Alligator mississippiensis: one gene and its partner. The protein of the gene in region 1 binds, or shares a complex with, the protein of each later gene. Links are inferred from orthologs where the notes say so. Each region holds a gene or a part of one and is shown in the gene's direction. Other genes may lie near its edges.

The links.
Region 2: the proteins of TJP1 (region 1) and GJC1 are in contact, whole or in part, in a crystal structure (PDB 3SHW), measured with the Homo sapiens proteins. The link is inferred for Alligator mississippiensis from reciprocal best matches to the Homo sapiens genes TJP1 and GJC1. Residues at the interface, in NP_003248.3 of Homo sapiens: Lys429, Ser432, Val433, Gly434, Leu435, Arg436, Leu437, Gly449, Val450, Leu451, Val484, Leu487, Leu488, Leu549, Asn551, Gly552, Lys553; in NP_001073852.1 of Homo sapiens: Lys391, Thr392, Ser393, Val394, Trp395, Ile396.

The regions. Positions count from the first base shown.
Region 1 is NC_081834.1:36,583,726-36,591,560, reverse strand, and holds the start of TJP1 (tight junction protein ZO-1), read left to right. Parts: upstream 1-4,433; 5' UTR 4,434-4,448; coding exon 4,449-4,615; intron 4,616-7,835. UniProt on the Homo sapiens protein: TJP1, TJP2, and TJP3 are closely related scaffolding proteins that link tight junction (TJ) transmembrane proteins such as claudins, junctional adhesion molecules, and occludin to the actin cytoskeleton.
Region 2 is NC_081827.1:161,882,602-161,890,234, forward strand, and holds the start of GJC1 (gap junction gamma-1 protein), read left to right. Parts: upstream 1-4,479; 5' UTR 4,480-4,578; intron 4,579-5,165; 5' UTR 5,166-5,301; exon of another isoform or gene 5,302-5,303; intron 5,304-7,633. UniProt on the Homo sapiens protein: One gap junction consists of a cluster of closely packed pairs of transmembrane channels, the connexons, through which materials of low MW diffuse from one cell to a neighboring cell.

The DNA.
Region 1 (7,835 bases):
GCATGGGCATAAAGTATCTGTAAAGTGGGGACAGGAGTCTGAGCCACGAACATGTTTACTGAGGTATTATATTTATGGTGATCTACCATACATTCAAGTGTAATTCAAGGCTCTCCAGAAGAAACTGCTTGTATTTCCTAGAGCTAGAAAGGACCACAGGAAGCTCAGATAAGAAGCATTTCAAAGAACATAAACAAAGTGAATGTGGTTTTAATGCTCTTGAGAGGTATACTGCTAATTTAGATAAACCATAATTGCCTAATTTTATTTGCTCTGTTTGTACACACTGCCGTCAAAACAATATTATTTTTATATTCATTGTAAGCTGTCTAATATGAAGTAAATTACTTCTGAAACATAATTTCTGTTTGAAAAATGTTAACAGCATTCGTTTAATAGATTTTTGACATATGGATGAAAGAGAAACACTTTTGTCACATAGAATAAGCTTGTCTAAGGGAGAACAAAAGCAATGTCCCTTCAAGGTACTTATGTACTTACAGTACCTGCTGTCTGAGAAAGTCCTACGCCTGCAATTTTTTACCATGAGTGAGCTAAATGGTTTGCTGTACAGCCCTATGGGGCAAGGGTTGGACATTCTGGAAGTATAACCAAAGCTAGGAGGCTGCTGATTTGCTGTTGATAGAAACAGGCATTAATTCACCTGAGACACAAGAAAACACGAAGCATCTTCCTACTCATCTTTGTCATATTAATGAAATGTGTGCTTATAACAAGGTTCCCTGACAGAAGAAATAGAATGCATCAGTACTAAGAGATGAGAGAGGGGTAAAATAATAGGAATCAAAATGTGAAATTATCATTTAATTCATGTCTGTAACACTAGTCATAAAGTAGTTGAAGTTGGGGGTGGATGGGGGCAGGGTACAGTGGTATAGATACATGCCCCATTTCAGTTGTTCACACCATGGGAGCAGCAGTTCAGTTTGTTTGTTTTTTTTAAGTTCCTGAAGCTAGTAAGAATTCCCCCCTCCCTTTTCCTTCATGCTCAGTGGCACCTCCTCTTCCCTCCCCGGCCTGCTTCTTCCACTGTCACCAGATGAACCAGTAGCAGAGGTGCTCCAGAGCATCTCCTGCTAGCTACATGTGTAGCTAGGTTCAGCCAGGAACAGGAGCAGCAGTGGGTAGGTCTGTCCTTCTTCCCCAGTCTCCGCAGTGTTCTCCACCAGCCCAGGACCATGTGCAGAGGAAGAGAACTTGCCTACTCCTGCTGCTGTTGTGGCAGCTGCCTCTGGCCAAGCCTGGCTGCAGTGGGGCAGAAGGGCTCTGGAGTTACCCCAACCCACCCCTAGGTCAGCTGGGGGCATCTGTGAGCAGGGAGGGGAAGGAGAGAGAAAGTGCTGCTGAGCATGGAGGGGAGGGGATTGAATAATTGAATAATGTTGGTTCAGAAATAGTTATAATGATTTAATAAATTTAAATAGAGATTAGAATTAGGAATTAGGATGATTTTTTTAAGGGAGTTGAATAAACATCTACATGGCATAGTGAGGCCTTAAGCCTGAGCCTTTTTGCAGGGATCTGCCTGCACAGTTTTTAGTGTTAAGTCAGGGCCTAGCTGTAAGTTTGAACAAAGAGTATGCAAGTGATCCTTGTTCATCTAAGACTGCAAGGTCAAACACAGAGAAAGAATTAAAATAGTTTTACTCCAAAAGGAAAGGTCCCTATAAAAAGCTTCCTGGCACAGCATCTAGCACCCTGCTCCATAAATCTTTAAAGTGAATTCAGTCTCAAATGTGACTCCATTGAAATATACTGTAGGATTCAGTGCTTATCTTTTCCCTATAATTTCAAATATTTCAAAGCAATTTAAAAAAATCCAAATCAGATATGCCCACTTTACAAAAAATGCATATATTTCTACCTTCCAGACCTGAAATTCAAACTAGAATTTTAAATGTTTTGTGTAATTTTTCCAGTAATAAAGATTGGATTATACAGAATAGTACAGGTATAAATTAAAATCTTAATGGAGTTGAAAAAAATATAAATAGGGACAGAACCGAGTATTTTAATTATAATTTAGGTAAAAAATCTATCATGGTTGGGTGAGAACAAAATCCAGGTCATGATCTTTCATAACATTTATGTGGGTTCTTCAGGGACAGTATGAATAATAAAAAAATAAAATAAACATTCATTGTAGTCACTTAAGTGAACAGATCGTAACTCTGAACAACCACGGTTATTATTTGTATAAGAAAGTGTCATTTCTTGGTCAATATTCTGCTTATAAGTACATTTTCAAGGTACAGCAGGATTTCCTTAAGCTTTATAATATAGATCAGGCTGGCTGCTCTCTTCTGTAGAAGGCAGTGGGACTTAATGCTGATAATCAGGATACTACCAGTATTAATTTTAAAGGCAACACTTGGAAAGGTTAAGTACTGGTTAAGTACACAACTTGAATTCTCTACTCTTAATCTTTCTCTTGGCCAGAGTTTAACTGAAAGATTGTTTGCTAAATGAAATGTATCCCCCTTTTTTTTAATGCTGGATTTGTTAGAAGAAGAGTGAGAACCTGTGAATTGTGCCTTGAGAGCTAGAGATGAGCAGGGCAATGTGAGAAACATTGAGCTGGCTCTTAATTTTTAAAATCTCTTCATCTGTGATGATATAATATTTCAGGACATTTCTACTAATCCCAGATTTCTTGGCTAGGAGAATGCAGCTGTTCAAATCATTACCCACAGTAATGTGATTATTTCAATATGGTCTTAATTAAAATCTGTTCTACTTATAGGTATAATGCTAGTTTTCCTATCTTCTGATATGCTGAAAAAACCCGAGTCTATTGTGATTTTTGAGGCATGTATTACTGATATAAGAAAAAAACTGAAAAGGCTGGGGGAGGGGAACCTAGGGAAAATGTGATTTTCTGTTTAAGCCTGCATGTGAAACATTCTTTTTAAGGCATCTTCTTTTCTAGCTTAGTGCGGTTGATAGCACCTGTTTCAATCACCCAGCGTAAGTGCTGTTGTTCGTGCAATTTGCAATATATGGTACAAAATTGTCACTTCTGCATTCATGGAGATTGGTGACACACACCTTGCGAAATGTATGCACATTGAAATAACATAGGGGCAGTCGAATGAACTGTTGTGGCAACTGATATTTTAAGGAGTCAATTTCAAACCATCTCTGGTAATAATCTTGAGAACATGGGTAGCAAAACCTCTGCTGAAGAGCTGTAATTCTGGAGTGCTGCTTCCCAGTATTCATATGAGAGCATCTTTCCTGGGAAGGTTCAAAAGGATTTTTTTTTATTATTGTTAGTAGTAGTAGTAGTAAGGGTATCATGTTATGTTATGTTAGGTCTTCACTGCTTTGTGTGGACATTAAAGATGTTTTTGAGCTTGTTGAGAGGAGGTGGGTTTGTTCTGGTAGCGCTAGTCACAACATCTAGTATTGGTGGTCAGCTGGGTACTGCTCTCCCCCCAAGAGGCAAGTGCACCTCACTGCTTCTGTGTGTCAAGGCTGGTACATCAGTACACTGCACGCAACTTAAATTTGGGGTGTGCTGAGGCTGAAAGGACAGGGCACTTGGTTTTTAATAGTGAACTTGGGGTTGAATGGTACCAACAATTTAAGACTGCATTAGTATCCATCTTGTGCCCATGCCCCACCACTTGATCATGCTTTTTTATTTCCTCCAGCATGACCAAAGTGGTGGCACCTATAGAAACGCCCCCCCCCCCCCCCCCCCCCCCCCGCGCATATAACTGAACAAGGTGGATTCACTTCAGTCCTTGCTGCCACTTGGGAGAATGGAGAGCGGCGCTTGTGTCCTTCAGGCCGTTGGTCTGGGAGCTGTGCAGGGGAGGCGCCGGCTCTGCCGCTTGAGGAGGCGCGGGGGGACCCCAAGTCCGTCTGCGCGGGACAGGACGGGACGGGACGGGACGGGACAGCTCCCGGCTCAGGCCCGCCACAGCCCCAGCCCCAGCCGTGGTGGGGGGCGCCGCGCGGGAAGGAAATAACGCGGGGCTATTCTCGGCACTAAGGAGCTTGGACGAGCGGGGGCCGAGCCGCAGGGCAGCGAGAGGGGGCGAGGGCAGAGCCATGGGGGCGGCCGCAGGTGCGGGCGAGAGGAGAGGAGCTCCGCCTCACGGCGCGGCGGGAGGAGAGGAGCGCGGAGGGGACGGGAGGGGAGGGGAGGGGAGGAGGCGGTGGCGGTAGCGGTGGCGGCGGCGGCGCGGGCGGGAGATGCCCCGCGCTCGGGGGCGGAGGAGGCCGCGTCAGCGGGGGGCAGCGCGGGAGGAGGAGGAGGAGGAGGAGGAGGCGGCGTGAGCCGGGGGAGCGCGGAGCAGGCGGCGGCGGCGGCGGCGGCGGCGGCGGAGGAGGAGGAGCAGGAGCGGCGGCAGGCGGGGGAGAGCGGCAGGCGCGAGGCAGGGCCGGCAGATGCCTGGGAATCACCATCGGATGGTTGCATGCAGCGGCTGGAGAGACTCTGTCGGTGGCGGCGGCGGGGACGAGGCAGGGACCGGGGGAGCGACGGCAAAATGAAGTACCAGAAATACCTGACGGTCTTGCAGATGGCCATCGGGGTGACCGCCTCCAACCGCGGCAGCCTCATGCCCCTCAAGCGGAAGCTGTGGTGAGTAGGCGCGGGGCGATGCGGGGCGGCCGGCTGCGCTGCCGCAGGGCCATGGCGGCGGGCGCGGGAGGGAGCTGTCCAGTGCCGCCGCCGCCGCCGCCGCCTGCGGCATCGCGGGCACCGCCGGGCGGGCGGGCGGGCGGGCCGGCGCGGGTCCCGGACACCGTGGCAGCGCCTTCCGCCACGGGCCCCGGGGGCAAGCCTGGCTCGTGCTCCGCTGCGCCTTGCCCCGCTCGCACCTCCCAAGGCTGCCTCCCTCGGGCTCGGGCTCGGGCTCGGGCTCGCACTCGGGGGTCCGCCTGGGGCTCGCCTGTGTGAGCAGGAGATGCCTCTGCCCTACGCACATGGGCATCTCGCACCGTTACCTCTGTCTCTCATGCTCGGGTAGATGAGTGTGGGAGAGAGATCCCAGTGCCAGATGGATACATCTTAATCTCACACTCAGGTGTGTGTGTGTGTGTGTGTGTGTGTGTGTGTGATACTCTGGTATCTATCTCTCTATCTCATACTCTTATCTCTCTATCCATCTATCTATCTATCTCATACTGATAACTCTCATATATCAGGGTACGAGATCTGTATAGCTCATACTTGGACATCTATTTCATACTCTTACATATCTAGCTCACCCACATGCTCCTATACCTATCTCATACTCATACATTTAAAGCCACAATTGACTCGGCACACATACGAATCTCCAAAAAGGAAGATCCAATATGTGGCTTCGATACGGTTAAAAAAAAATAACCTTTCTGTGCACCTCGTTTCCACTGGCCTTTGTGGTTTTCTGGTCAGTGAGCTGAACTGATTTCTGGAGGAATCAAAAATCCATGTTATGGAAAATATACTGTGAAGTGTCACTTTGTAAAATGTGGGCAAGGGCATCAAGCAACAGATGGCATTGCACTGTCCAGTCACTCTTTTTGACTTGGAAGGGACTGCTATCAGTTTGATTGAAGCAGTAGGACACATGTCATTGTCAGAACAAATAATATTAAGGAGGAAAAGTCACGTGGCTACAAAGATAAATATTCTGGGGAAAGTATCAGGATTTTCTATTGCATTTGTACAGCAGGGAAAAATGTTTACAGGACACGGAGAATGACACTTAAGCAGTAGTGGTCATACGATTGTCTGTCACTGTGGCCATGGTCACAGTGGAAGAGTGCAGAGTGTCAGAGAAAGAAGTGATTGGACATGCTGTTAAAAAAAGAAGATGACTCTAAAATGATCTGTTTTCAGGAGCAGCGTCTTGTCACAATTGGCAAATAGGCTCTGTCTTGAATTGGCCTTGATTTTTATATTTATATATAACCATATATATATATATATATATATATATATATATATATATATATATATATATATATATATATGTATAATTCTTACACACTCATCCGGAACAGACAACATAACCTCCTGGACATACCTCAGAGAAGCAGAATAAAATTGCTGTAGATCTGCCATTTACTGTATTTCTTCCAGAGTTTGTCTTTTTCTTGTATGTTTCAGGATATGTAAAACTGAAGAAAAAACTATTTTTACATTTTAGTATTTTTGGATGCCATCCAGGTTTGTTAGTTGCATAACTATACTTTTATATGTGCAACTACTAAGCTTTCTGTTGTTATTATTAAATCTTATTATACCATTTGTAGAAAGCAACATGATTTAAAAAACAGAAATATTGTAATTTCCAAATTAAATTAACTGAAGCATACAAAAGCGCACAAAATATTTTCCATTACAAAAATATTCTTTCATATGGATAACTTTGGTTAAATTCAGAAAACCCACTTTTGTACTGTATAAAGTACCAAGTATTTGGTTTTGATATTGTCAAAACCATAACATGCCACCACCTCCACTATTCTCTCAATAATGCATTCCTTTCAGTGTACTCCTTGTGCATCTTAAACAGCAATGTGTATAAGAATATATTACTTCTTTTAAAAAATAATTATAATGTAGCTCAAATATTGACTTTTTCTGTTTTTGTCTTTTCTTGGAATCTGATCCTGTGTCCACATATTACAGTGGAACCCTGAATATGTTTCTTTTAAAAGTCACTTTGAATGGTCCTGGTCCAGCATCCTCTGAAGTTAATGAAGTCCATTGACTTCATTAAAAGTTGGATCAGGCCTACATTTTCCAACTGTATAGCCAGATTTCTCTGCTTTGTGAGGGATAGTCAAGACAATAGAGTGGATCTTAAATGATTCACAAATGTCTGAAGGAAAAATATGCTATATTCATGGAATCCATTTACATCTGCAGCACCTCTTGCCTCTGTGTTCACATTACACCCAGTGCCGTATTATATGAGCAGTCAGGTTGGTGATATAGGTCTAAAGATCAGACAAAAATAACATGCTTTTTCTGCAGAGTAATCTGTGCCAATTACGTAAAATCATGCATTTTCTATCCTTTAGATTAGTGTCTCAAAGTGTAATTTTCCTCAGTGAATAACGTACTACAGATATCAACTTTGGGTTGGGAGCTTGGGTAGCATCAACATGACATTGTCTGTATGGATAGAATATTTACCTGTGAATGAAATAGTCCTTTCTGATGCATTTAGAAGACTGCTTAAGGGGTATTTTTAACTCTGTGATTTTAGTTTAGTTTTTATCAAATCATACATGAAACAAAGAAATTTGGTTTTTTTAAATTAGTATGCTAATTTTTTATTATCAAAGAGCAACGTAATATTACCAAAGTGCAAAGCAAAAGTAAATGCAGTTACTATATCATCTATAATCTCTCACCTGCTATAAGAACAAAAATGTACAAATTAAATTAGCTATTACTTTTTAAATGACCGAATGGTTGCATGTTCTTTAAGTTTTGAAAAATGACAGTTTCAGTATTCTTGCTTGCGTTACCATATTCCTGAGTTGCTTGGTATGTTAGTACATACTGAAGTGCAAGCAAAATAAATTATTTAATAAAAAAAAGGTTTAAAATACTTATCTTTTGTTGGTGGAGATAATCCACCTGAATCCTACTGAATGAAAATGAAAAGGTAGCAGCAATTGTTTATTTCTTTACAGAACATCTGCCACTATAATTTCCTTCTGCCTGCCCATAAGAAATGTAAATTCTGTTTGGAAAACACAAAAAGCACAGCTACAGAATAAAAGCAAAAAAGATGGATGCTGGCTATCTTCTGTGGTTGTTAATAAACTATAGAGAGTTTAACTTCTGAGAGCAAATG
Region 2 (7,633 bases), on another chromosome or scaffold:
ACACCAAGCTGTGGGGAGTAGTAGATACGCTGGAGGGTAGGGCTAGGATTCAGAATGACTAGACAAATTGAAGGATTGGGCCAAAAGAGATCTCATGAGGCTCAATAAAGACAAGTGCAAAGTCCTGTACTTTGGATGGAACAATCCCATGCACCGGCACAGGCTGGGGGCTGACTGGCTGGGCAGCAGCTCTGCAGAAAAGGACCTGGGGGTTACAGCAGAAAATAAGCTGAATATGAGCCAGCAGTGTGCCCTTGTTGCAAAGAAGGCTAATGGCATACTGGGCTGCATCAGTAGGAACATTGTTAGCAGGTCAAGGAAAGTGATTATTCCCCTCTGTTCAGCACTGGTGAGGCCACATCTGGAGTACTGTGTTCAGTTTTGGGCCCCCCACTACAGAAAGGATGTGCATAAATTGAAGAGAGTCCAGCAGGGGCAACAAAAATGGTTCAGGTGCTGGGGGACATGACTTATGAGGAGAGGCTGAGGGAGCTGGGCTTATTTAGTCTAGAGAAGAGATGACTGAAGGGGGATTTAATAGCAGCTTTCAACTACCCGAAAGGGGGTTTGAAAGAGGATGGAGCTAGACTGTTCTCAGTGGTGGCAGATGAAAGAACAAACAGCAAGTCTCAAGTTGCAGCAAGGGAAGTTTAGGTTAGATATTAGGAAGAATTTTCTCACTGGGTGGGTAGTAAAACACTGGAACAAGCTACTCAGAGAAGTGGTGGAATCTCCATCCTTGGAGGTTTTCAAGACCCAGCTGGACCAAGCCTTGGCTTGGATGATCTAGTTGGGGCTGGTCCTGCTTTGAGCAGGAGGTTGGACTAAATGATCTCCTGGGGGCCCTTTCAATCCTAATTTTCTATGATTGTATGATTATGAAGATCGTAAAGTCATGGATTAAATAGGAAATGCCAGGATTAAGGTTGCCTGTACATTTTTAATTACACAATCACATCCCATTTTTCATTCAAAAAATGCTGCATCTTTTAGTGCACAGTATGGGCCAGCTCTGGGGCTGGATGAAAGCTGTGTAGAATTGATTTCTGTTGGACCTCTCTGCTTCATGTTCTGTGTAAGTCTGGGCAACTGCTTGCTTAAAAAAAAAAAAAAAAAAGCAAACTGAAAAAAATCCCTAAACATTCAATAACATGACATAATGTCATCAGCAGGTTTGGTACCTTTGAATCACAGAGACTTCAGCCACTTGAGCTAATCAAGTAACTGATAGCAGTGGTAGCTTGTTATCCTCTGTGTGGACCAGCACCAGTGGCGGATGGGACACTTTGCCAGGGTGTTTCACAGATATCTGATGACAGCAGAGGGATTGTGAACTCAAGGACCCTGTGCTCAGGTCCAGAATCTGGAAGCGGGGCTGTTCCGCACCCACAGATTCTTCCACCTCTTCCCCCTAGGACAATGATTCTCAACCAGGGTACTGCAGAATCCCAGGGTGCCTTGAGATCCTTCAAGGATGCCATGGAGTGCCAAACAAAGTTACCACTGTTAGGTTTACAAATATGATTCACAAGATAAACCCAGAGATTTCCACTAGATATTCATAGTTGTGGTCTTTCTGAGTTGTTTGCAACAGATTGCAAGTTAAAAGCTGGCATCTTCCAAGGGGTCCTCAAATCTATCCAGGGGTGCCTTGAGTCTAAAGAGGTTGAGAACCACTGCCCTAGAATAACTAGTTTTGTCCTGCCTCTCCCCCTGTCTCAGCCGTGTCTCATCACAGTCCTTGCTTCCTGGTCCCATTCTCTTCACCAGCTCATGACAAGTCTTCACTCCTTAGGCCTCTCATCCTACTCTCCTTATTCAGATAGTTGCCTGGCTCCTCATTTTCTTTTACTCTGCCATCCACCTAGTGCCTCCTAGTTTTTCTTTTGTCCTTCTCTTGCTCCCAGTCCCAGTCTCCCCACAAAACAGTTATAGTTTCCCTCTTTCACCTTCCAGCCTCTCATCCCAGTTTCTGCTTCTACATCTGTCATGGTGGGCTCCTTGTTCCAATCTACTTTGCCTCTTCTGCACATCCAAGTCTTGTCTCCTCTGCGTTTGAATCCATTGGCTTCCTCCCCTACTCCACATAGATCCATCAGGAAGGGCACTGGAGAAATGGTCTCCCTGCTCCCAGCTTGGGTGCCCAGACCCACACCTGACAAGGCATGGCTCACAACAGATCTGAGCTTCTAGTTTAGGGCAAGCCTTACTCAGCCAAGGGCTAGTATCTGCCTAGCCCAGATGGAATCTTTGAGGAATTTATTCACTAAAATCAAAGTCATCTCTGCAGAGCACATGCAAACTGCAAGAGCCTTTAACCTTGATCAACTGTCAGTAGTTTTTCACAGGGACAAAACAGGTAATATTCCTGATGAAAGTCCTGATCCCCAGGAACCAAATCCTTCAAAATTAAAGGCACTCTAAATAATACTCTTATATTATTATTGCTGCTTCACACTTTGTCACCAAAGTATCCTGAGAAGCCAGCTCTTGTGGAATTCATGCTTTTCAAAATACGTTATAGATCAGGGAGCAGGACAGGGAGATACAGCACTCGCTTGCCCCAGTGCTGCCTGTCTGGATCCATACTGCTGCCCACTCCCCCTACCGTGCCATTAGACTCAGACCCATCGCAGCTGCTGCTGGCTCTGCAGATCTGGTCCAGGAGGAACTTCCATAATCCAGATCTGGCCTCGGGCCCAGGATGAGTTTGACACTCCTGATCTAGTCTAACCCCCTGTCTGAGGCAGGGATCATCCCGATCCAAACTATAGAAATCCATTGCCTAACTGGTTAACAAAACTATACCATCAACCCTGACAAAAAGCAAGACAGCACCCTAATATGCTACACACAGGCAGAGCAGGGGGACCATCATAGCCAACATCCTCCTAGTGGAAAGGTTGTTAAAATATGCTCCAGACATCCTAGGTAGAGGGTCATCCCCTCCGCTGCAAAGGAAGACAAAAACGCCCACAGTCTACATCCATCTGACCACAGGGTAAAATTCCTTCCTGACCCCAGATATGATGATTGGTCTGACCCAGAGCCAAGGGGCAGGACTCTTTAACCAGGAACCTCTGGGTTTAAATCGCAGCAGAAGCACTGGCACGTCCTAGTCAAAATCTCCAGCTGTGGCTGTAGCCAATACCCAATGCTTCTGAGGAAGTCTTAAAAGAAAAACCCTGAAGCATGTAGCAGCAGGAAGGGGAAAAAATCCCCTCCCAGCTGCACACGGTAACCAGGAAAGCCCAGAAGCATGGGAAAAACTCACAGCAGAACATAGCCAGGGGTTCTCAAGCTTTTTTTAGACTTCCTCATTCAACCCTCAGAAAATGCCAGCTCTTACTTTTCACTTCTTTTTTGACTACAGAAAAATAAGGGAGCAATCCTTCTGTTGCCAAGGGCTCAGAAAGACTGCAAGAAATCTTAACAGCACAGATTTTTATTGGCAATCTTCAGGTTTACTTTTACACATCCTGCTTGTGTAAGCCTTGCAGGACTAACACCATGGGGAATCTTGAGGCAGACAAGGTTCCTTGGGTGAATCTGATATCTTTTATTAGACCAACCCAAATAGTTGGAAAATAATTATTAAGCAAGCTTTCGGGTTCAAAAACCCTTTGTCAGGTCTAATCAAAGATATCAGGTTCACCCGAGGAACCTTGTCTGCCTATGTCCTTAGACCAACACGGCTACACGTCTGTAACTGGGGAATCTTGAGGCACCCCAGGGTGCCACACACACCCCCAGCGGAGAATCAGAGTGGCTGCTATAGATCCTCCCAGACCTATCCCTCCACTGATGGAGAGTCCACACCTTTAGGGTGTGGTGGGGGTTTCTGCTTTCAGCTGAAGGGCTTGGAAACCAAGGCATCTATAATTTCCATCTGAAACCCAGTTTCTGTTCTCTGCTGAAGGGCTTGGAAGGCACGAAGCTGAAGTTGGGTCTTTCTTCCCTGCCCCTTTCTCAAAGCTAATCTTTACACAACAAAAAGGTTGTTGGAGTGAATCAGACATGCTAAAAAGCTAGAAGTTCATCCGAAATGTATCATGAAAAATGTACTGAGCTTTGGGCCAGACACCACCCTGCTCAGATTTTTTCCGGTGGTGCAGGCACGTGGGCTGGGGCGCCCTGAGGAGGAATGTGCCCCATGACCCCAGCCCAATCTCAGGGCTCCATAAATGAGCTTCTTTTCCATTTTCTTATTAGTCAATCTCCATTTCTGACGAACTCTTTAGCCACGTCTAACTCTTTGCTAACAACCTTTCCCTGTGTAAAGATGAGCTTTTGAAAAGGAACCGGGAAAAGGCACCAACTTCAGCCTCGGCCCCTGCCCTCTCCGCTCTGAAGGTGGCTGGTCCCAGCGGAACGGCTCGGCGGGGGGGGACGCGGGAGGGAGGCTCGCCCGGCAGCGGCGGCGGTTGCAACGCACATCTGGAAGGGGGCGAGGGCGGCCGCGCGCATGCGCCCCGGCCCCCTCTCCTGCTCCCCTGTGGCGGGGTCCCGCCGAGGCGGCGGAGGGTGGGGCTCCCCGCCGAGGGCGGCCGCGCGTGCCCCTGCACAGTGCCCCGGCGGGTGAGTGCGCCAGCAGGGGGCGCCCCTGCCTGGGGCTGGGGTCTTGCCCCGGCCTGGAGGGTTTGGGGGGCACGGTGGGTGGCCCCTTGCCCCTGGTGCTGCCCCAGCCTGGCACCTGCCCCCTGCACGGGGGATTTGGTGTTGTGCCCTTTTGTTGTGAGGATGGGTGGCTGTGGTGTGGCGGGGGTGCTGGAGGGATTGGCATCCACTGATTGATTTCTGTATTTGGATGGGATCAATGTCCGGCTGCCAAGCCTGGAGTTAGCTGCCATGCTTAAGGGGGAAGGAAAAAGATCTCGGAGATGTTAAATCCCTAAGACTTGGCCGGACTGTTTGGGGGGTGGGAGGCAGAGCTAGAAAAGAGCCCGCGGGTGGCTCGGCTCGTCGTGGCTGTCCAGGGTTTTTCACTTCTCCAGAGCATAAAGAGAAAACCCTTTGCGCCGAATGCCGTCGCATGCTGTGGAGGGAAGGGGAAGGGGGCCGTGCCGGGTGCCTCTGAAACGGTGGCAGCATTGGAAACATCATCGCCGTGTGCTTCCGCTGGTTCATATCTGTGTTCCTCAGGAACGCTTTACCCTTTGTCCTAGGCGAAACACAGGCCCACAGAGCCTTGCTTCTCCGCGTCCGGTGGCAGCGTTTTATCTTCTCTTTTGTCCTCTTCGGTACAACGCCATCTGATGTCTCATCAAGTCTAATTCCTTCCTCCCTAGGAATCGTTGAACCGTGTGAGTAAATTTTAGCGGCGATTCTGTGCTGTTTCTGTCTTACCTCTTTCTGGGTAGAAAGCCAACCCTGATTTTCAGTCTGTGAAATTTAGGATTTAAAGTGTTCTGCAGAATCAGTGACAGCCTGTCAAGATTGGGGCTAAAAGGGAGGCTGTCATGGTGTGTCTAATAAAATCGATCCCGTCAGAACAATTTATCGATCATTCTTTTGTAGAGTGGAGTTCAAAAGGCTGCCACAGATTCACTGTTTTGAACCTTGTTCTTCATAAGTGTTGTTTAGAAACAAGTTTCTGAAGTAACCTTAGCTGATGACTGCAGGCCAGTTCCAAGATTGCGTTAGTTTTTCTAGTCCGAAAACTTTCCAGAGTGAACCAGTGACCCAACCCTGTTTAGCTGTTGTAGATGTAACTTGATCTTTTGAATTGTCAGCAGGAGAAAAGTTTTTACTATATTAATTCTCTGGTTTATTAAAACAAGCTGTTAGAGACTTTCAAACATTTGGAAGTAGAGGGAAGAATTTACAATAGATCTAGGGGCAGATTTTTAAGACACAAAAGTCAGTGTGGTTCTTGGCACTCTTTGGAAAGTTATGTGCCCAACTGCTGTGTGCCTTAGAAACAACTTTCTTTTGGATTTTAAATGATGCAAAAGCTTGTTTTTTTAATAGAAAGATAAGATTGCGTGAAATACATAAGCAGCTGAAATGTATGAAAATTAAATGTATTTAGTGCTAACTCAGAACATGCAGACCAGTCTTAATTTAGTTTACAGTTTAATTATAAAATGTCTTTCATTATCAGAGCTCCTTATTGAGAACCAAAGTTGTAAATCATAATTTCATTTTCTTTAGAACTTGTAATATTACGGTTAGTGTGGGGTGTATGTTTTTTTTATTTCCTGGGCAGCATTAAATGCTGATGTAACTAGCATGTGCATGTGTGTGCATATATATGTACATAATTGCCTGTTTCTGTTGGGCAAGGCTGTATTTCTCTAGCCCAATCAATGCTTGAAATATTCTTTTGAAACTGAATAGGATATTAGCCATCATTGGCGATCAAGTCTGTTTATAGCCACATCAGATTATGAGCATACACACTTTTCTGAGCATCTCTGAACCAATTTTTTACGCAATTTTTAGTAGAACACACTTTATTCATGTACATGTAGTTTTTTGGCTTTAAGGGGTAATATGTAGTATAATGGTTGTGCAAGACCTTCATAAAGTTCTTACGGCCTCAACGTTAGAATTTCTTTTTCTTTATTTCATGGGGGATTCTGGTTTGAGAAGTTTCCTTATTTCAAGACATACCAAAGCATCTATAATTTCCATCTGAAACCCAGTAAATTAATTTTTTTTAGTAAACTTTCATGAAAAGATGTTATTTCTAAAAGCACTTCTCTGCCATCTGCCAATAGAGCATGCTTGTATTTGGTACAAATCCCAGCGTGAAGACCTGATGTCATGACAGGTTGGTTCCACATTAAAGCCACTACCTACATCATCAAAACGGGTTTGAAAATTAACTATTGTAAATATTCTTATACTGTAAAGCTTAAAATGTTGATAGGCTGAAAGAAGGAAGTTTCCAACCTGCACTTAGCTCAAGAAGCACTGGCTGACTTCTGTATCCAGCAACAAAAAAAGTGGATGCACCTTTCTATTCCAAGGTCCTTGTCTGACAAACTGATATAGTTACTTAGTCTGTCTTGGCCTCAGTGACACTAATGTGACTCTGGCAGATAGTTTAGTTTAGTTTTGTGGGCAATATTGCTCATTATAAAGCTTGTGGGGATTTTGGATCACTAGCTTTGTCCCCCCCTAATTACACTTTTATTTGCTGTCACTATGAAAGTATTTGTTTATTTGTCCCTATTGAAATTCTAAAATAGCATTGATATAAGCATGTTGTTGCCTGTTTTAATACATTTTGAAAATTAGTTTAATCTAAACTGGCATCTAGTTTTGCTTGAGCAGATCAAAATTGTTTAAAGCCATTTGTGGCCAGAGGAGTTGCAAAGCATCTTAGCACTCTCCTGAGATGAGTCCTCAACAGCTCTGAACTCCATCCAGCTTTCTCTTTCTGTTCTGACAACAGCTTTTGTCTTGCGATCAAACAGGTGAAAGGAGTGTAACTGCGTACCTCTGTCCATTGATCAGCGTAACAGCAGAATTGAAGCAAGAGATATATAGGCACTGTTGTCTCAGTTTTCTCCCATGGTTTCTCCTATGCCATGCCATGCCAATCTCAAAACACTAGACAGAACTCAACCCCATATAGCCAATGCTGTTAACCTCAGTTGGAACTTGATTTCACCCCTGAGGTGTA